Linked DNA regions of Lepisosteus oculatus. The protein of the gene in region 2 interacts with the protein of the main gene of each other region in a biochemical or structural test. Links are inferred from orthologs where the notes say so. Each region holds a gene or a part of one and is shown on either strand. Other genes may lie near its edges. The genes, in order: nr4a1, apoptosis regulator Bcl-2 and fkbp8.

Region 1 (7,004 bases), on a different chromosome or scaffold from region 2:
TGTGTGTGCCCTGCAATGGGCTGGGGTCCCTTCCAGGACACACCCCAACTTGTGCCCAGTGCGTGCTAGGACAGGCTCCAGCTAGGGTGGATGTATGGACAAGGGGAGGGGGGTCACAACATCAAATCATGGGGGAACCAGCCAAGACTTGAAACAAAACTGAGAGCTGTGTGTGGTGAGGTACTGGAGCACTATGGCTGCTGTTCCATCATGCAGGTGGGGCTGCACACTGGTGCTGGTGGTGGGGAGTCCCCATTACCTGTAAAGCGCTTTGAGTGGAGTGTCCAGAACAGCGCTATATAAGTGTAAGCAATTATTATTATTATTATTATTATTAAAAGTGAACACATGGAAGCTGGACAGGACCTTGATGAAGTGGAGATGAAATCGTCCTTTCCTAGCTCCTCCAATTATTTGGCACTGGTGTTCAACCTCATGTTTAGAACAAATAGATGCATCTCTGTCAGAATTTACCCAACCTGAAAATATTTGCCTACATTATGATCTGTTGTTTTACAAATGTCACAACCCCTCCCCCCCAGATACAAACAGGACACACTGGATGTGTGGAATTTATCTTAATTTGAAGAATTCGTGTCTCAGGATAAGGACTGCCTGTGTTAGCCTGTCCTTGTGCAGATGCAGTATCGATGCAGATAACAACAGTATTATCAGCTTTTTGCTGGTGTCCCCTGATCTACTGTATTTGCCACAGTTCATCTTAACCTTCACTGTGGCCAACTTTGTCAGTGGGTTCATGGGTTTGTACACTGCAAAAAATCCCTACATTGTTCTCAGAGTTTTGGACTAAACAGATTTTTTTTTATCTCTAGATATAGAACTTTCTTACAAGGCCAAGCGTTAATCTGGTCGCTCAGCGGAGCCAGAATGTAACCAAAGAAATGTTGCTTTATAAAGTGCTGAACAAAATGACACACAATAGTCCAGTTCAGTAAATGCACCATACAGCTGTAGTACAATGTCCCTTGATTTTAGTTCTTCAATTTACAATTCAATCTTAAAGATCTTATTTTATATATCCTAATGTTTGAGGTCTGTTTTATTAGGCTTTTTGGAAATCATATACAGGTTTCTTATCCTATGCAAAGAGCTTTGGCACAAAAACTGCACTATACAGACTGGTGTTTATAACAAAAGTTTGGGAGGGGTGACAACAACTAAGTTCAATCAGACTCAGCTGTCAGTAATTAGCAATCGCTCCTGACAATCCACTTCTCTCCCAAATGCTATAAATACCTACGAGATCCCTCTCTCTCTCTCTTGCATCCCACCTCCACCTCTGCAGCTGCCCCTTGGTCAGCCTGCAGGGGGGTCCTGGTCTCCTTGTCCTCTGGCCAGGAGGCCAGCCCTCAGCCAAGCGGGTTAAACCACAATTTGGCTCCATGCAGCTTTCATCCCGGGTGTTGTCATTCCTACTGAATTCATACTACGTCCTCACGTCTTCTAGAAGACTTCAATGAGGAGTCGCGAAGAACCGTTCTTAAGAGCATCCCATTCCAGCTCCCCTCAGGACCGTGCCCCGCCCTGCCTCCTGCCCCAGGCCCTCTGTCAGACCAGGCCAGGTGTCTCCCCACTCCTGAATCCCTGTATGGATTTCCTCTGCTGCGGCTGCCACAGTGTTCGCAGCTCCTCCTCGTGTGGTATCGTCTTCTGTTTTAACAGGTTCTCCAACTGTGCCGGAATCTGCAAACTGCCAGAACCACCTGGTACCGGTGGGGGCCCTGGGGGTCAGGATCTGCGGGGTTCTGCCCACGCGTGGAGCAGACGGCAGCTCTCCCGACATCAAAAACACACAGCTACACAACCAGGCAGACGCGTCACTTGCAGTAATCTGCAGTAATCTTGCTTTGGGGGAGTGCCGTCAGTGCGTTCGAGCGCTGCGCTCTCACAGTGTCCGAGTACTCGCTTACCTGATGCGCGTCACCGCTGGCGCGTCCCCCGGCTGCGCGCTTCACCCGGGACAGCGAGCCCAACCGGCCGTGCAGCCGCCTCCCGTCCCGGAAAAGAAGCTCACTTTCTCTTCCTCGCTGCTTTCTTTCTTTTCGCCTCCGAGGATTCCTGCCGTCACAAAGACGCCCCTGTCTTCTGATCAGATCTTTCACATTCCACGCCATGGCGATATGCATCAGGGAAACCAGTCGGACCGCAAAAAGAAAGCCGGGGTTTCTTCGTTCGCCTGTGTAACCCGACGCCCCTCCGCCCGGCGTTTTTCCAGTCCTGCTGCCGTCTCTTTTTTTTTCTCTCTCTCTTTCTCGCTAAGCACTTCCCCTCGCCTGAGAACGATCAGATGCTCCTATGGCTCAGAAACAGGGGCAAGTCTCTCCGATGACGTCAATGAAGGGCTCGATTGACGTAGGTGGAATCCCTGGCGGTGACGACACCGGGCCCTTCTGGGAGGGAGGCCGGCGAAAACAAACGTGAAGGCGACCTAAAAATAGCCTACCGAAAGAAAGAAAAGAGCGAGAAAAAAAGAAAGTCGTTGCTGTCCGTTTCGTGACACGCACACAGATGGAGACGAGATAATTATAGCACCTTTAGCGAAGACGTGAGAAAGTAAAGGACGACCCCCCACACACACACGATTCACATTTTTGCTGTATAGCTAACCTTAATCGCCGCTTCCGACCGACTTCCTGTACAGGGAGATCTGTAGGCGCTTATCTTTTATATGGCAGTTTGAGTTTCCACTGCCTCGGTGAACGTTACATCTGCAGTCATACGCGCAGCCTCCGTGCTCAGAAAAAAATTCCCATTTCCTCGTAGTCTCCAAAACAAAAAAATGCGAGGCTCTCTTTAAAGCTGTACCGGGAGATATGCAGAGGAGACCGACAAGTCGGAGCCTTTCATTACTGCTGTAGTCGTACGCTAGGCTCTCACCGCGCATGCCTCTGTGGGGGTTGTGCACTTTCACCGTGCTGCGAGCGAGCTGTCCTGATCCCAACGGGCACGACTAAGCGCCACCACCTTCAGCCCCCCCATGTCTCCGGCAGTTGTGAAAGCTGGGGTGGCGGAATCGGAAAGTGCAGAACCTGAAAAACCAAAACACGCCGGCCGTCACTATTCATACAATGCCTTCCTCCCAGTTTCTATAACGGGTCTTTCTTGTATTTATTTATATATTAAATAATGTCCTACTTCTCGCGAAATAAAATCCGAGTGGAGATGCCGGGGATTGAACCCGGGACCTCACACATGCGAAGCGTGCGCTCTACCACTGAGCTACATCCCCAGGCCCGCTTCAGCCGCCCCCCCCTACAGACTGCAGGAGCAATCCCACAGCCCTCCAGTGAGGGGTCCTAACCCCCTGCACAAGCGGGAGGACGGCCGCGCGAGTCATCCAGCTGGCTTGGCCGCTAATCTTTTTGCCCTTATTGGCTGACTCTCAAGCAAGATTCGCATTCTCCTCACCCTCCCAAGCCCACATACTGCAGATGCAATTCATCTCTTGGCCCGGTTGGAGGTCGATATAAATCAAATGTTGATGTGTTTTTTTTAAATAAGAATTTCTGTAAAAAGCCTTTTTTAAAAAAAAAAAATCCTTTCTCGCCTACCTTACAGTGCCTTAGTGCAACTCCTTTCGTTGTTTCACCGGCACTTTTTCAGTTGGCGGAGACTTCTCGGCTGTCAGAAGAAAAACGTCTCTCCTTTCTTTCCCGACTCTCTGACCTTCCGCTAACCAGGAGGACCGCTCTGCCCTCCACACGGACAGCGGGTCGCCCGGCCTGCGGGCCGAGCAGTGCAGCCGTACCGTGACGTGAAGCGCTCGGGCCCCAGTGAGGTCCGCCCTGCGGCCGTCCCCCTCAAACCCGCGCTCGCAGGCTAACGGGCTGCACTCTTCGGTCTTCCTCTCTGACACGGCGGGACCCGTTCATGCCGCCCTCGGTCCAGCCGTGGGCCCTTCCTCTAGCGATGTAATCACCACGGACATTTCGATTAATTCACCCCAGCAAATGACTCCGGTGCACAAGCGTCGCTTTCTTTCTTTTTTGTCTCGTTTTGCGTGTACGAATGTTTCTATGCTGCTCGGGGTTTTTCCTATAGATTCTAGATCAATTTTGCATCTGGGGATCAGGCATTTGCACCCCTAAAGTACTACTCGAGGAAACGTGATTACATAAGTCTCAGTAACATAATACATTAAGCGAGATACGCGAGCCTTGTTATTAAATAGTTGGGAAGGCTCCTGCGTTCTTTGACCGTATTAAAACACCAGTGTCCTTATCGAGTTACTTTCAGTGTGTTCGAATTAAAAAAAAAAGAGGTAAACCGAGAGGTGGGGTTTTTATATTTAGATGTCCGACACTAGTAGGGCTGCCAGTCCCGGCCTGCCGACAGCTCGCCACTCAGACCGAACCGCTGGAGTCACGCGGCCTCCCCGCGCCTCAGCGAGACGAACACCTGGAGCAGCCGCGCGCCACCCGATCCCGTCAGCCCCTCGCTCCTCGCTCGCTCCACCGAACAAGCCGAGGGCTCACCTTGCCGGAAAGAGTTTGAAAGAGACCCGGAAAAGCGGACGGACAGCGGGCCCCGAGCACTCCTCTGTTCCGAAGCGAACGGGGCAAGTTCATCTCACAGGAGTTATCGACAGGACTGCGAAGGGAAACCAGAACCGAACGCCGTAATTCAGGACGCTGTAACCCCCTAACCCACCACCTTAGTCTTTAATTTCTTTTCTTTCCCTTGAAGGGCAATATCTTAAATCCAATCATGTCTCAAAACGTCTGGTACAACGAACCCACGTTTATCTATCGATTGAAATAAAGACGGCCATGTTTTGTTTTGGTTTTTTTTTCCCAATACATGATACTGTTAGCAATTTCGTTAAATGTTATCACATTTCTATGCAACTTTACTCTCGGGAACTGAGGCAGTTAAATAATCGACAGAGTTTAACTGAAAGAGTTCCGTCGGCAAAGGAAGATATTCAATATATCCATCGACAGGAACTTCATCGCAACACGGCCGCGTAATGACACCTAGCGGCCTGCATGCGACACTACAACTGGGCGATCTGGTTGGACGGAAAGCTGCCTTTCCGCTGGCTTTAATGAAAGTCGTCTTCGCCTCCTCGTACGTTTTCCTTTACGCATCTCGTTTCAGAATAGCGACCTTTTCCGCTTGCAGTCTCTTCCTTTACCAAGAACAGCCCGTTTTTAAAACCGAGAACCCTTGTGACTAAAGGCACTGACGCCACCTGCCGGAGATCCGGCTGTTTGCGGCGAAAAGGCTCTTGCCCACGGCTCTCGAAATCTGCGGGCGGGTTTCTCGTATAGCGGCAAATTCTGTCTTCGGCAGTAGCGGTATCTAACCTGGTATCCTTGGTTTCGAGGAAAACGTGATCTCGGGAATGTGGACATTGCCAGCTCCCTCCATCCATGTTCGAAAACCGCTTAGTCCGACACAGTACAGGGCAGCAGTGAGCCACAGTCTCACCTGGCGGACAGTAGGGTCACCTGGAGAGAACGCCAGTCCAGCACAGGGCACAGGGGTGAAGCCTTCCATGGTGAAATGTAGAGGTGAAAGTACACGTATTTCATTGTGGTTAATGCTGCTTTTTACTAAGGCATTTATTTAGCATTTGTGGGTTTGTATACAGATAATATACATATATATACTTCACCAGCAGCCATATCACCCTGCAGCTCACAACTGGCAGCTCCCTAAAGCTAAGCAGGTGTGAGCCTGGTCAGTACCTGGATAGGAGACCACCTGGGAAAAACTAACGTTGCTACCTGGAAAAGGTGTTAGTGGGGCCAGTAGAGGGTGCTCACCCTGCGGTCTGTGTGGGTCCTAATGCCCCAGTAGAGTGATGGTGATGCTATACTGTAAAAAGATGCCATCCTTTGGATGAGATGTAAAACTGAGGTCCTGACTCTCTTTAAAGAGAGTCATTAAAAATCCCAGGGTGTTTCTTGAAAAGAGCAGGGGTAAAATCTGGGCATCATTGGCCTTTACCAATCAGAGCCTCCTTATAATCCCCATCTATGAACTGATAGCTAATAGCTACACGTCACTGAGAGCTGGTGTATGGTGAGTGTACTGGCGCACTATGGTTGCAGTTGCATTGTCCTGGTGGGGCTGCACACTGGGGGTGGTGGAGGGGAGTCCCCATTACCTGTAAAGCGCTTTGAGTGGAGTGTCCAGAAAAGTGTTATATAAGTGTAAGCAATTCTTCTTATAATTAAATCTGCACTTGGAAGCTGGACAGGGCCTTGGTGAAGTGGAGATGAAATCTTCCTTTCCTAGCTCCTCCAATTATTTGGCACTGGCACTTCTTATTATAACACTCCATCCTTTTGTGCACATAATAGTACTGTCAGTCTCACACGGGGGAAACACGATGAGTTTTTGGTGCAGAAATTAGTTTTGTCACCACAGCACAATTCACTTAACATTTCTTAAAGGCCGCGATGCCAAAAATGACTGAGCCCACTGACAGACTGCTTGAATGCATAGCAACCGGGCAGCAGCAGCTATAACTGCATTTTCTGTTTCTGCTAAGCCAGTCTCACACTCTGTTCCTGGAGGACTGAGCGTCTTGCGTCTAAAATAACTGCCTGCAACTCGCCATCTGTTGCTTCCGTAAACGCAATACATTTAAACAGAAAGACCCTGATGAGTGTAAGTGACCGCTCCCACCCAGCTTTCCCCTGTTTGAGCTCTCTCTCTTGGGGAGAAGGTTAAGAGTTTGGGATGTTGTCAAATCCAAAACAGAGCAGTTCAGGAAGAGCTCCTTTGCTGAGGCTATTTGGTCTCTTAACTCAACACTTACAAAAGTATTGATTAAAGTATTTATGGGCAAATTCATGGATTCTATATTATTCTGAATATGATATGTATTATTTATGATGTTTTTTTCTCTTCTTGTATCTGACCTTTTTTTTTGTATCTCTGTTATTTTGAGCAACACCACAGAAAAGTCCCAACAGCCCAAAGGAATGTCTTGGCAATAAAGTTGACTTTGACTTCTAGTTTTTGTTCCA
Region 2 (7,341 bases):
TTAACACAAAACTACAAAAGCAGTGTGGCCCTGCTTGGTATTTCTTGACCCGTGGGTCTATTTGAATTATTCACACGTTTTGGTTTTGTTTTTACATCTAGTATGATGGTCTCCAGAAAGATTGATATTTAACTGATTTAACCTCTTCCATGATTGATACTGACTTTTACATAACAAGATTATGAAATAACTGAAGATAGATAATAAGGACAACAAAAAATGATTTATACTCCATTGAGTTCCAAAGTGGACATGATGAACACAAATGTGCTTCTGTTATCTGTGTTTCTATTACAACATAATTCCCACATCCTTGCTTAAATTGCTGAAATCACTTGAGTCTATTCTCCTAACTTGATTTTTAATACTAAAAACTACAATATTCAAGTTTTCCAGTTTTTAGAAAAATATAAAAATCATTTAAAGGGGTGTCTGTTGTGTCGTACCTTGAACAATTCGTTTGAACAATTCTAATGTGCTTTAAATTAAAAACAAAATAATGTGGCTTCTCACGGATTGTGAAAGGCAGTGTATACTGTTTTCACAGATCAATTGACACGTGTCATTTTGAAAACGATAGAGAGAAAGTGCTGACTAGACAAGTTCATTGTCTGCTCTGGCATAATTAATTAAATGCAGACGCCGTTAATCTAGTAAAAGCACCTTGTGTTATTAGTCTTACAATCCTTCCCAGATTAAGGTCCCTAATCAGTGTTTTGAATGTGTACAGATCCTTACAGCAGTGTTTAAAATAAGAGGATCCCCAAGGTCTGTGATACCACTGATTGACAGCCGCCGTCTGGAATAACCTCCTCAGCTTCTCTCTTCCAGCCAGTGGAAAGTGACTCATTCTGTAGTCTGATTTTGTCAGGTCTCAGAAGGTAGGCAAAAAATTGGGAGAGATCTCGGTGGATCCGTAGTTAACACTTCAACTGGTGTGGGGTGACTACTTGGTCATTAAAGATCCCCACTCTGGGTGTGTAAAGCCTGGAGTGACTTCCCTCAATTCCCCTCTTAATTCAATAGATATTTGAGTAAATTCTCACTTCTCTGGGAGTGGGATTGGGGCTGTTGTACATCCCCTTGACAGGGGATTGATTTTATCATGGATGAAGTGGGTCCCCTCCTGGATGTGAAGGACGTTTGAATCTTTCATGATGAAAAGTCCTATATAAATGCAAGCAATTCTTATGAGAATAACAGGGAACAAGTCACAGTGTCTGCAAAGTGCTTTTTGTTTTGGTCAGCCACCACATCTAATGCCTGCTGCTGGCCATTGAGACTGGTTTTTGTTATTTAATGATAAAATTGTACAGTATATTGTGGAAAACAAACCTTCTGAGTCCATGTTAAGTCAGAGTCTTTGCAGGATGGGTTGTTGTCCTTAACGTGTGCCTGTGCTGAGATAAGAGAAAGAAAATCAGCAGCCATTCCTTCCAAAAAGGTCTCTGTTGGTTTTAGTTGGATATGTTTAATAGTTTTGCTGTTTATGGAGTGCCTTACAAAAATATTCATCCCCCTCCCATGGATACCCCATTATGCTGAATAACAAATGATGCATTCACATTTTTAACAAACGTTTAAGTTCAAGCTTGAATGCTCAAACGGAACACTTTGATGGATGAAAACAATTACGTCATTATGTCAGCAAAAACTGCAGAGAACCATTTAAAAAACAGAAACCTGTCACTTGTCAGTGCCTGCCCCCTTTGCTATGGGAAACATATTAGATCACGAACAGGACGCTACAAAGCTACTTTGACAAGTCACACAACTGAACCTCATCATGGATTCAAGTTCTGAAAAAAAAAAGCACATGCAGATTTCATCTGGTTCCTGGTTGGACATGTGCTTGGAGACTTCTCACACCAGGCGTGCGATTTCAGTTAACAAGAACGTCATTGTTCCCAGCCCGGCACTTCTGTTTCAGTTCAAGGAGAAACGTGACTGTTGGTGACCTATTAGAATTGCTCTGCTCTGTTCATTGTGTGAGAAAAGCAGGGGCCCAGTTCCCATAGATCCCGCTCCTAAAGCCTGCTCAGAGACTTGACGACTCGTGTCAAGATTAGATCAGGTATTCTGTATTTTACCGTCGTGGCTCTGTTGTTGTGTTTTACACGGAGCTGCCATCGCCGTTAAGACTGTTTTTATGAGGTATTTCTTACATGTCTAAGACTGCCCACTGCTGAATAAAACGGATATACAACAACTTAAAATTCTGGAATTCTGTGATAAAATTAGTTAGAACAATTTACGGTATTTTATTTTGTCCGGAAAAAAAAGTCTTCCCGAAACTGGCGTCCTCTAAAAGCAGGGAACACATTTTAACATCCAGTAGGTCTTTTCCCAGCTGGCTCTTCCTGGTGATGGAAGGAATTTAGATACAGATGGTTAAAAAAAAAGACAAATAGAATTCAGGACAGATGGACATAATGACGTAGAAAGGAAACCCCACTGAAAATAACAGAATTGAAAGCAAAGGAGAAAAATCTTCTAAATCCAAATGTAAATCTTGAAATCGTTAATCCAGCTTCTTGTTTGCAGTGCCTTCTACCAAAGAAAAGTAAATGAGACTGATACCCTTGGAAACTGGAACTGCTTATGCATGAAGAATGATGACAGCCTGTTACTACAGCCTCCTAAAAAATTAAATCTAAAAATCCATTTTCCAGATGGCATTGGCGTCTACCAAATGTGTGCCTCAAAAATCTGGACGAGAAAATGATTTTCAAATGAGGACAAGATTAAAATTCCTTGAAGACATTAATCCACAATAGAAAAGGATTCTCACAATGTAAACGCAATGCATTACAAAAGTATTTACTCTTTTCCACTTTGTGAATTTATGAATCGTGTACACAGATTTATAAAGTGAATAGTTTTAAATCCATTCAGCTAAAGCCATACAACTAATGGTGCGACTTGTCACTGTAATTGTGTGCGCCCAAATTAAAGATGTGTCATTATAAAGGGTGTGAATCAACTTTTTATTTGATTTTTTCTTTGCAGACACTTCACTTCTTTCACGCACAATGAAGTTTCGAGCATTTACCTTTCGATTAAAAATAAACACGTTAAAAAAGGTGTAGAGAGAATTTCTAATTCAACAACATGGAACATCACTGGAAGGGGTGAATGTTTTTACAAGGCATTGTAACTGCAGACCGATTCCAGACTGATTTCGGGAATTCAGCTTCGATAGGATGTCAGACGTCTTTATTTTTCTCATTAATTTCATATGTCATGTAGAATTCCCGCCTCCACTCTTCAGTGCATCATTTATCTCAAATATTTTACGTAAAGTATATATATGTACAGTATATGCACGGTTCGGTATTTTAATGGTGTTGGTTAACAATTGCCCCCACTTTACGATCCTGAATAATTGCTTAAAAATATACTGTAGGATGATTAATATTGTAGCGAATTCGAGTTCTCTAACTGCTAAAGTGCACTCTCGAGAAACACAAGCTTTGGCATAGATTTATATTATATATGACATTTACCTATTTAAAATGTATTTCATTTGCACTTACTGTAAAATCATTCAAATCCGTCTTCGGTAAAGAACTCGCTCGCTTGATATAATTTTGGCGACATCGATGATCGTTTTTGTGGTACAAACCTAATTGTGGTGCAAACAATATGTTCCGAAACACAAATGGCAGCGCCGGGGAATTAACGATATTGGACTTGGAACCGATGTTAAATAATAAAAATCGAGCGGAAATCTCACAACAGGTGAAGCAGCCGGTCGTACAGTAGCCCCGCCATCAAGTGCTGCCAGAGTAACTAAAAAAATGAATGGCGTGACGTAGAGGAAATACCTCACTCGAAAGGAGTAACGTTATATATAATGAGAGGCAGAGGGAGTGACGGCGAGTGCAGTTGTATCAAAGATTTGTTGCTCACATACTATGTAACTGCAGCTTTAACGTAGTTTTTGCCGTGACGGTGCAAGGAGCAAGGCTTAGTGTTATTTTCTTTCTAAACTTGAGATCTTTTTAATACATTCCTCGGCGTCTTTTTGTGTGTGTGTGTGTGGGAGACTCTCCTAGTCGATTTACTTAATCTGGGATAAAAGGCATTTCGAAAGCTACTGCTGTCTCTTCCGTCTTTCAAAGGCGCTGTTCAAATGTCACTGGGATAATTCAGCGCCGCAGGACAGCAGTGCGGTTTCGTCCAAGTTTTGGATGTGTTCAAGTGATTATCTCGAATTAGGAATCTAAGTGGATACTTCCCAAATTGCTGGATTTGTGGAAAATATATTCTAAAGGATACGCGAAAACTTGGTACTTTTTTTTCCCACGGATCTTTCTCATTGCTGAAAAGGGGCGTAATAATTAGAATAGATCAAACATTCCTGGCGGATTGCTTGCGGCTCTGGAGCTGTCTAAACGCCTGTAACCGATGAAGTAAGTTACCCAAAGTTTATAAAGCGATAGCGCGGGATGTATAGGCAAAGTAGAAAATAGATGATAAAATTCGGTTGTAGGAAAATGCATATTTAAATCCAGATAGACGATATTAGCTCCGACTGTTTTCTCCGGCATTAGAAAATTGCTCTCCTGGTTACGAAGAGTAGTGCATTCACCGCATAGCACGATTTCTTGATGTTTGACATTCATTTCTTTTAGAACATTTTGGTTTGTAATGAAGACTGTCAAGTCTGCGGGAAAAAAAAGGTGAAGTGTTAAGTATATGTTGTAGCTGCAGTTTACGTGTTGCAATGCACTTAAACGCAGGTTTTTGCAAATAGTAGAACATTGCGGGTCACCCAATAAACATGCTTTCTGAAAAATATAGAATGTCGTATTAATTAAAAGTACGTTTTTCAAAGTTTGATAATGCCTATATTGGGGCTTCTGAAGCCGGTGTGGAAATGATCGGTAAAGGGCAAACTTCATTCTTTCTACAATGCACACGTCTAAAATGCACCGATATTAAAGTGCGTGTTTAACTCGGGTAATATTTTTTATTTAATTAGGGTGTTTGCATTGGAAGATGTCTCTAATGTGTCTGGGTTTCGAACAGCCGCGGTGTTTTTACAGCATGGCGTGTTATTGATCCTAGCCGCCTTTTTGATATTGGTATTTTTAAAGACTGGTGGGAACACCAGAAATAATGTATGCATTGAGTCTGGTAGTAATAATCATCTGTATTGTTGAATTACAGAATATATAGCAAGCCGTTTACGAGTTTCTGTTGGAAAATGCACGTGGCATAGGACTGCTTGGACTTGCTGGGTTTGGTCGCGGCATTTTGAGTCCCTAAATAATGGCAAATAACGAAGCCCCGTACGATACTCGGAATATCGTGACAAAATACATCCATCACAAACTCCTGAAGAAGGGCTACGTGTGGGAATCCCGCGTGTCCGGCGAGACCGATCCCCCCAATAACGGATTGGTGGGCCCCTCCGCCTCGGGTCCGGGGCTGCAGGCGCGGCGGCTCCAGGCTGCCGGGGCCGAGCGCGGAGCTGTCCCGGTCCCCCGCCGGACCCCCCCGCCCGACCCCCACGCCGCTCTCCACAAGGTGCTGCGGGAGGCTGGGGACGAGATCGAGAGGATGTACCACCGGGACTTCGCGGAGATGTCGGATCAGTTGCACTTCACCCCCAACACCGCCCGGAGGAAGTTCACCGCGGTGGTGGAGGAGCTGTTTCGGGACGGAGTCAACTGGGGGCGGATTGTCGCTTTCTTCGAGTTCGGCGGGACGATGTGCGTGGAGAGCGTGAACCGGGAGATGACGTCCCAGGTGGACAACATTGCCAACTGGATGACGGAGTATCTCAACGGGCCCCTTCAGAACTGGATCCAGGAGAACGGAGGCTGGGTGAGTTTGGTCACAACGTGCAAAAAAAAAAAAAACAATAAAAAATAAATAAATGCAAAGTGTAATTGAGGTTTTGCAAGATTCCCTGTTTTCCTCAAATTTCTCCCTTCCTTAATGATCTCCGCAGAATCGATTTTTCCCCATAATCTCTTGTGATAGTGTTGCCTAATTTGTCGCACCATTCAATGCACGGTTTGAGTATTCAGGTTATACCCCAAATCCACGCACATACCTGCTGAAATGACAAGGGACACGCCTAAAACCTGTACATTTCCTTGTCTTTGTTAAATGGATTGAAGAACATGCATAAAAGCCTTGATTGTCCCTCACAATGGAAAGACATTTCCTGTCATCTGTGTGGCGAAGCCTGCTCTGTAAGAGGTCACCTGTCCGAAGGGAGCTCTGACCAATTAGGTGCGCGTTCCCTGTCACACCCCCTTCACGCCTACTAGACATGACGAAGGGTTGCCGTGTCGTGAGCTGTCAATTTCAGCCTGTGATGAAACTGGGAACATACAGTACTTCACTTCCAGGACATCTGGGCTAATGTCACACGAGTGGTTCGGAAGACACGTTAAAAAGAAGGTTTATAATTCTGAAAAGAGGGCTCGCCCAGTCCACAAGGGTTTAATTTGACGCCTTAACTTGCTCGGGAGGAAGGGGCGTACTAAGGTGTTTTACAGAAAGCCTTAGAAAATGTTGTATAAAACATTGAAACTTTCATAACACCTGACTTAAACAGTTACTATAACCTATTTCTGCTTATTTGGTAACGCTCTTGCTAAAACACTTTAACGTACAGAAAAATATTATGACGAAAAAAAGGCAGCCTCGCTTCACTGTAGTAACACGTATCTGCTTGTGCTATGAGGGAGTTTTTTTTTTAAGACGGGGGATACCAGCAACGTTTTCTTTGGTTTTCAGGATTCTGTGGTGACTAGTGGCAATTTCCCAAAACATTTTGTCACTGCAGATATTTACTAGTCTCTAAACTATAACTGGATTATAGCTCCCATATGAAGTCTTGCTGGTTTCTAAACCTTAAATCACTGTGTTGATCACAATATTATTTAAATAAACCACGTCTGCATTTAAATAAATGTGACATCACCTTCAAGAATGCAGCCACAGAGGAGATCTACAGCTTGCAGTTGTCATACATTCTCTCTGTTTGTTTTTGGGGTTGAACAGTCGATGCATCAGTCATTATTCCCATGATATCTGATGCTGTGAAGACATTAATCACATCTTCTGCAGGAGTGTGTTCTATTGCTCTTTTCATGTTGAAGAAACTCTTGTCATGGGTATACTTTGTGTGGTTATACAATGAAAGTCAGAAGAATACAAAGACCAATGAAAATAAATGAACGAAGCAGTAGTATGGACTGCTAAGGAACTACCCAAATCTTGTTTGGAGATCTAGGTGACTATGATTTATTTAAGCATTTCTAGTGTGAAATAGTTATTCATCAGACGTGCCTGGGAATTAATTAAATTTGAGTGAAT
Region 3 (7,866 bases), on a different chromosome or scaffold from region 2:
TTGCAACGAGATCTGCAGGCAAAGTTAACGAGCAGCATTTGTTGGCAAAACTGTCCCGAAGTCAAGAGAAATATTCAGCTGGATTAAAAGAGGTGTATTCACAAGCCTGCTGGTTTACAATGAAACAGGGCTGCTTCTCGTCACCCTAGGTTTTGTTGCCTCGTTCTGAATCACAGAACATGGCGCTGCGCATACCTGGAAATTACGTCCATTTTGTTATAAGTTACTGTGTACATTTTACTTTCATTGTGGTTTGAAGTGCCCTCACGAATGCCAATTCTTTCTAACCCTGAAATATCAAAATAGCACGGCAGTTCCTTTTAAGCGTGAGGAAAAACATTCGGGTCCCATTCTTTCCTGGGGGCAAATTCTCTGACCGCAATGAAAGGGTCAGACAGAAAACACGCTCACTGGAAAGAAAGGACCCTGAAATGCTCTTTCGGAGGTGCAGCTCAGGAAGCAAGCGGACACGAGGCCAGCCGCCCCCCCACCCCCCCACCTGGATGACGTCGCCGTCTCCGAGCGTGAAATCCAGGCTGGGCTCCTCCTGCACCAGGGAGCCATCCTGCAGCGAGGCCTTCAGCCGGACCCTCACTGTCTGGCCCTTCCTGGGCCGGCTGTCCGGGCCCCTGCCAGCCGCCAGCACCTTCTTCCTCAGCTGCCCGTTCCCTGCGGAGAGAGCGCGGGAAGAAGGTCAGTCCCCGGAACACAGGAAGGGAAGGGGAGAAGGAAGAGGTGCTGGACCGAGGGATGATCAGAATGAAAAGCAGACACGCCCCCCACCAAAGCTCACTCATCCATCCATTTTCTAACCACTTCATCCAACGCAGGGAGCCAGAGCCTATCCCAGCAAGCAGCGGGCACAAGGCAGGGTACACCCTGGACGGGACGCCAGGCCATCAAAGGGCGCACACACACACTCACACCAGGGCCAATTTTCCCAGAAGCCAACTAACCCACCAGTATGTCTTTAGACGGTGGGAGGACACCGGAGCCAAAACCTCTTACATCCAAGGAAAAACAGGGATCCACCCTCCTCTGGATGAAATACTGAAGTTGGTTATAAAGGAAAAGCATGAAAATGAGGTAACAGAACATCACCATTCCCTTCGACCAGCAGCTCTGTCACCCCGCAGCTCCCAGCTGGCAGCCCTGGCCAGTACCTGGAGGGGAGACTCCTGGGAAAGCTAAGGCTGCTGCTGGAAGAGGTGTTAGTGGGGCCAGCAGGGGGCGCTCACCCTGCGGTCTGTGTGGAGCCTAACGCCCCAGTACAGTAGGACACTATACAGCAAAAAGGTGCCGTCCTTTGGATGAGACGTAAAACTGAGGTCCTGACTCTCTGTGGTCATTAAAAATCCCAGAGTGTTTCTCGAAAAGAGTAGGGGTGTTACCCCGGCATCCTGACCAAATTTCCCATTGGCCTTTACCCTTATTGGCCTTCTAATAATCCCCATCTCTGAACTGGCTTCATGACTCTGCTCTCCTCCCCACTGAGAGCTGGTGTGTGGGGAGCAGACTGGTGCATCATCCAGGTGGGGGTACACCCTGGTGGGTGTGGAGGGGATCCCCGTTACCTGTACAGAGCTTTGAGTGGAGTGTCCAGAAGAGCTGTATAAGTGTGAGGAAATATTATTATTATTATTTTTATTACCCAAGACATCCAGCCACTCCTCTCCCTCCGAGGAGTGCTCAGCCGCAGGGCTCTGCTCACTCCCAGTCCCGTCCTCCCCTTCCTTCCGAACAGCCGCCTTCTTCCCTGCAGCGGTGTCTTCCAGAGGAGGAAGATCCCCATCATCATCATCGTCCTCCTCCTCCTCGTCATTCAGCATCTCGAAGTCCTCGCCGCCGTCCAGCAGGGAGGTGCGCCGCCGCCGGCCCGGAGACTCGGCCCCGCCGCCGGCCGCCTCCTGCGCGTCCCCCACGGCCGCCATATCTGCGCTTCAGAGCACGTTGAACTGGGGAGAGGCAAAATAACACTGACCACCCAAAACAGACACCACCCGGAGACACGAAACCCATCGACTGCAGCCCCCAGATGACCCGACCTCCCAGTCACGTCCTCCCTAAGAGTTAGGTACCTGCTCCGTGAATGCTGTAGTTAAATCGCCCTGTTGAATAAAAGCAAGTAACGTTGCTAATAGAGCCAGGAGCGACGGACGTGTCTGCGAAGGCCCTTTTGGATCGGCTGCGAAATCGCAAACGTAATACAAAACACGGATCTACCCGCCTACCCCTCTCTCCCCCCGCCCGGCGGTGCAACCTGTTGTACGATCTGATCCCGTCTCGGGCTGTGAGATCCACATCCAGGTGGTGTCGGGATGCGTTTCGCACTCAGACCATTTATCGATCAACAAGAAAAGTCGTTTTGGGGGGGGATCTGCTGCGGATTTATTCGACCAGAACACAGCCTATAGGAAACAGAGCAGTTGCTGCTCATCCTCATCTGGGCAAGCGGGTTGTGATATAATCTAATCGAACATCTGAAGTCCAAATTAATAATCTTGCGATCGCCGCTGTAGAGGACCCACCGCCAGATAAGAAAAATAAATCGAGTTACCCACACATTTTCTCAGCGGAACCAAAACAAAGTTTAAATGACTGACGCAAACATTTTAACGCTGCAAACGGGAGCAGAAACGTCATGGAAGTCTGAAATATGAAACGAATACAACTAGTACACTTCCTAGCCGGCCCTAAACCACACGTGGGACAAGTGCCTAAACTGAACACACAGGAGTGCATCAGCTGCGCTTCAAGATACGGAGACGAAGTTTTTTTTAAAATAAAAGCGACTTTATCGCGTCATTTGGCCTGAGGTGATAGGTGATGAGTACGCGTCAGGGCAAAGTGTAAAGCTCCAAGCTGCAGTTTCTCTCACACGCGTCGCAAGAGTTTCTCCTAGTCAGAATAGGGTCGTTAGCAAAGCGAACCGTCCTTACCTTGCAACGTTATGAATTCATACAACGCCGTGACGCCATCAAAATTAAGCTTTCATATTTCTTCCTGGTCACCTTGGACCTTGGTCGCCAAGCAATCGCAGAACACTTTAACCCCGCCCATCGCACGATTCTATTGGCTTCTACTCCTCACTCCATTTTACTATTGGTCTGTTCCGCTGTCACTCATTTTCAGACCATAGAGTTCAGTCATCCGGGCACAGATGGTCCCGCCGCTAGTCTCTCCGGAAGTAGAGGCGGTTCCCTCTCGCGCACTCGTAGAGATGAACAGAGATTAGAGTGACGCGTGATCCTCCCGTGTAAATTACAGCGCCATCTTAGTGGGGTGAAAATGAAAGCAATTACGCTTCGATTCTTGCAGTCATAACACAACTCTGTCATTGCATGGTTTGAAATCTTCTTAAAAGTTGGTGGAATATATTCATGAAATGACTTTTCCTATGAAGCTGTTATGATACGGATGCAATGTTCTCTTTAGACGCAGTCTGGTTTTATTCTATTGAAACTGCACTCCAACACTGGATAATGTTTTTTGTAATATTTAAACAAATGCTTTTTTACTTCAAAACCCTATTATGCAGAATGAGAAACGGATTCTCTCGTATACATAAAGAACTTAGAGAGAATTGGAGTTTTAATCATAATTATAAATAACAAATAATTGTTGTTGTTAATAATAATTAATAATAATAATAATAATAATAATAGTTGCTTACACTTATATAGGGCTTTTCTGGACACTCCACTCAAAGCGCTTTACATGATGGATGATGGATGATGCAACAGCAGCCATAGTGCGCCAGAACACTCCCCACACACCAGCTCTCAGTGGGGAGGAGAGCAGAGTGATGGAGCCAGTTCAGAGATGGGGATTATTAGGAGGCCATGATGGGTAAAGGCCAATGGGAAAGTGGCCAGGACGCCTGGGTTACACCCCTACTCTTTTTGAGAAACCTCTGGACCAGTCAGGACCTCGGTTTTACGTCTCAGCCAAAGGACAGTGCCTTGTTTTATAGTATAATGTCCCTGTCACTATACTGGGGCATTAGGACCAGACCTCAGGGTGAGAGCCCCCTACATATGAGATCCCAGGCACACTCTGAACCAAAGAGCTCCTTGTTCCGGCCCTCAACTTTACCCTGATTTATGCAAGTAGGAGTGGATACGAATTCCTGTACCATTTACGGAGCCCTTAACATGAGCTGTGAAAGGTCTGAGTTTTGCCGAAGTCAATCCAGCCCAAAATATATGTTATCCACCAAACCTAAAAGGTTTGAATTATAGGCAGTTACCATTGAGGTTGAGAACTGATCGAGAGACCTATTGACCCGAGCTTTGATCAAGAGTGATGTCTGATATAGAGTGACAATCTCTCCAGGTTCCGGAAGTCTGCACTCCACCAGGTTTTTTAGGTAATTTAATAATCCCCAATGAGTTAAGAGCTGAAAACATTGGGAATGAAGACCAGTTGAGGGAACAACAGATTCCAATTAAGTGGTCAAGAGTCCAGAGTGGAATAGCGATCAGAAGACCCGACAGCCCTCCAGCAGAAGGTGTGAATATTGTCCAGGTGATACAGACAGTCTTTCCCCCACAGGTAACACACGAGGAGAATTCCTCAGATGAGCTCCTCCTCAACCACCACAGTGCAGAAGAAGCAGATTCCTGGGGAGGGCAGCTCAGACTCTGTCTCTGCCAAAGACCGCTCCACAAGTTAAGGTGATACAGGTGAGAGGAAGAGAAGATATTGTTCCAGGTAAGTGTTCTATCCATCATTCAGAGAAAACTGCTTAATCTTGGTAAAGATCACAGCAATATGGAGCACCAGGCAGGGCCCCACCCTGGATAGGAGGCCAGTGCATCGCAGTGCACACAGGCACAATGTATACACACCAGCTGTTTTTACTAGCTCAGCCTTGTGAGGTAAAATGAACCGGGAGCTCTGGGAGGAAAGCCACGGGCATGTGGAGTGAAGATGCAGACTCCACACAGAAGGCTCCTTCTGTTCAGAGTGGAACCCAGGACCCAGCACTGTGAGACAGCTGTTTTAGCAACCAAGCCACTCTTGCTGCTCTCTTGGATAGCCAGCAGCCATATCACCCTGCAACTCACAACTGGCAACCCACTGAAGCTAAGCAGGTGTGAACCTGGTCAGTACCTGGAGAGGAGACTCCTGGGAAAGCTGAGGCTGCTGCTGGAAGAGGAGTTAGTGGGGCCAGTAGGGGGCGCTCACCCTGCGGTCCATGTGGGTCCTAATGCCCCAGTATAGTGATGGGGACACTATACTGTAAACAGGTGCTGTCCTTCGGATGAGACGTAAAACCGAGGTCCTGACTCTCTGTGGTCATTAAAAATCCCAGGACGTTTCTCCAAAAGAGTAGGGGTGTTACCTCAGTGTCCTGGCCAAATTCCCCATTGGCCTTACCAATCATGGCCTCCTAATAATCCCCATCTCTGAACTGGCTTCATCACTCTGCTCTCCTCCCCACTGATAGCTGATGTGTGGTGAGCGTTCTGGCGCACTATGGCTGCTGTCGCATCATCCAGGTGGGGCTGCACATTGGTGGTGGTGGAGGGGATCCCCATTACCTGTAAAACGCTTTGAGTGGAGTGTCCAGAAAAAGCTCTATATAAGTGTAAGCAATAATAATAATAATAATAATAATAATAGTAATAATAATAATTATTATTATTATCACCTGGACTCTTTGTTAGAGACATGATGTACTCTGACCAGCCAGGGCCCACAGTGCTCAGCCCTCAGCTACACCCACTGCAATGCGCACGATTGTGTGCTTTCACTTTGGTTGAATCACAACAGCCGTGGAGATGGGTTTAAGGAGCACTACACAGATAAGAGTGCACACCCAGCATTGCTGCAGTTGGAGAATCAGAGACATTGAAGCCCTGCAGCCTAGGAAATGGAATTGAATTGCTATTGTCAGGTTGAGGCTGCACTTCAATCAAACAGCCCCTGAGAGCCTCGATACAGCAGGTGGTTTAGGTTTCCTGAAGTCTTCAACAGATCGGTGTTACCCGTTTCCTCTGGCCTTAATGTGACTAAGAAGACCCAACGCACTGCAGTCCTCCTGGGCCAGACTCAAATCCCCTGGGCCCAAGGCTTCTTCCTGAACTCTCCTGAGGTGTTCACATGTAGATCCTGACTGGCATCTGGGAGTTCTGCACGGACAGCTCAGGGTAGGTCAAGCCAGGGAGGGGAGGTGCGTGCCATGATGTGAGCCAAGCATCAGCTAATGTCGGCCTCAGTGCCAACTCATTGAATGGAGGCACGCACTTTTCTGCAGACTGTCCCGTGCGTGAGTGCAGTTGTGAAAGACGAGGAACGGACGTTTACCCAAGGCCCCGCGGGGCTGATCTCAGCCGCTTTTAAATGCAGCAGAGGCCCTTGCAAACGGTAAGAGCCGCAGAAGGCTGTAAGTCAGAAAGATGCAAAAAGCATCACAACATGATCTCAACCACACCTGTGCCTTGCGGCCCGCTGTAGGACTTCACCTGCACCGGAAGCTAAAAAACATAAACCTCACTCAGAGCAGAGCACCGCCATTGGCAAAACATGCGATCAGAGTTTTAGTTTCTTATGTATTTTGGTCTCTCTTCCTCTCCTCCCCCTGCCTAAGTTAATCTGGATCCAGGAGGCTCTAGCAAGCACCCATCAAATGGACCTATTAGTTCTGCAACAATCTCGCATTACGGATTCCCTCCCAAAAACCAGGAGGAGCTGCACATTCCTGCCCTTCCGCCATGCAAAAGAGGAAGCTCGGGATGAGCTGTGTTTTTGTGTAATTGGGGCTGTTGTGTGCACCAGGTTGATCGGCACAGAATGCTAAGTGGCTCCCTCATCTATCTGCGTTTTCCCAGCGGGGCAGGTCGCTGCAGGCTGTGCATATCAAGGTTGGCTGGCTCTGTGCACAGCCTGAGTGGTTAACAAGCCCCGGTATTAGTGTCAACTTGCTAAATTGTATGTAACTTTTTAGTTCACACTAATAATCCTGCTTATTGATTTCTTGTCTGAGCCTTCAGCCTGGTGTAACACTAATGGCACTGGTCAATAAATATCACAAACTGTTGCACACCCCCCCCCCCCCCACACACACACACACACACACACACTCACACACACACACTCACTCTCCCTTTCCCCTAATCTTAAAAATCACTGCTCGACATCACTCCTGGGCTGCTGGAGGAGGTACAACAGAGACAATGTTTCTAATAGGATCTGCACTGCTTAAGCCCCCAGGTTTCTCTCTTGTTTGTTAAAACTGCTTGCTTAAAGGTGTCTTATCTGTTAAGAAAGGAAAGGTGTTTCATTGGTAAATGCAGCACACCACCTCATGTTGTACTATGCACACCTATTAACAAGCAGAACAGCCCATGCATGCACAAAGGAGGCAGAACAGAGCGATTTCTACACTAAAGGCCTGGGGAGGATTATCTCTGCAGGGTGTCTACAGTAGGCTGATTAAATGGACCCTATAGATCAGAACCAAGGGCCAGCAGGGTGAGAGGTCAGTGCATTTTCGTGAAGGTGAGCCTACTAAGTTAATCGAGCCAGTCAGGGCTTGATCTGATTGACTTAATTGTTTTCACCATATCATTACTCACAGGTTGCAAGTTCGCTCAGTGAAAAGGTGATAGAAAGAAATCCACGAATCTCATAAGTTGAAGACCGAAAAGCAATTTTGAAAGGTTGAAAGAGGCGAATGATAAGTTCAGCTTCGTAATTGACAGCTCAGGTGAAACAGAACCCCAGCAGGGGCGGACTGTCAGGAGGTTTCGTGCACAACCCTTGGGATGTCCGCTCAGAATCTGAAATAAATTCTTTGTAATCCTGGTCTGCATGATTACCAGCCAGGGATAGACCACTGCTGCATTTTTCCACCTGGAC

The links.
Region 1: the proteins of apoptosis regulator Bcl-2 (region 2) and nr4a1 form a complex in vitro, tested with the Homo sapiens proteins (2 studies listed by BioGRID). The link is inferred for Lepisosteus oculatus from reciprocal best matches to the Homo sapiens genes BCL2 and NR4A1.
Region 3: the proteins of apoptosis regulator Bcl-2 (region 2) and fkbp8 form a complex in vitro, tested with the Homo sapiens proteins (4 studies listed by BioGRID, with this or other methods). The link is inferred for Lepisosteus oculatus from reciprocal best matches to the Homo sapiens genes BCL2 and FKBP8.

Annotation. Positions count from the first base shown.
Region 1 is NC_090696.1:15,679,560-15,686,563, forward strand, and holds the start of nr4a1 (nuclear receptor subfamily 4immunitygroup A member 1), read right to left. Parts: upstream 3,039-7,004; 5' UTR 2,629-3,038; exon of another isoform or gene 2,461-2,628; 5' UTR 2,148-2,460; coding exon 1,932-2,147; intron 1-1,931. UniProt on the Homo sapiens protein: Orphan nuclear receptor. Binds the NGFI-B response element (NBRE) 5'-AAAGGTCA-3'. Binds 9-cis-retinoic acid outside of its ligand-binding (NR LBD) domain.
Region 2 is NC_090701.1:10,513,309-10,520,649, forward strand, and holds the start of apoptosis regulator Bcl-2, read left to right. Parts: upstream 1-4,325; 5' UTR 4,326-4,415; intron 4,416-5,175; 5' UTR 5,176-5,277; coding exon 5,278-5,835; intron 5,836-7,341. UniProt on the Homo sapiens protein: Suppresses apoptosis in a variety of cell systems including factor-dependent lymphohematopoietic and neural cells. Regulates cell death by controlling the mitochondrial membrane permeability. Appears to function in a feedback loop system with caspases.
Region 3 is NC_090724.1:8,155,756-8,163,621, reverse strand, and holds the start of fkbp8 (peptidyl-prolyl cis-trans isomerase FKBP8), read right to left. Parts: upstream 3,051-7,866; 5' UTR 2,940-3,050; intron 2,756-2,939; exon of another isoform or gene 2,261-2,755; intron 2,190-2,260; exon of another isoform or gene 2,079-2,189; intron 1,956-2,078; 5' UTR 1,932-1,955; coding exon 1,652-1,931; intron 670-1,651; coding exon 500-669; intron 1-499. UniProt on the Homo sapiens protein: Constitutively inactive PPiase, which becomes active when bound to calmodulin and calcium. Seems to act as a chaperone for BCL2, targets it to the mitochondria and modulates its phosphorylation state.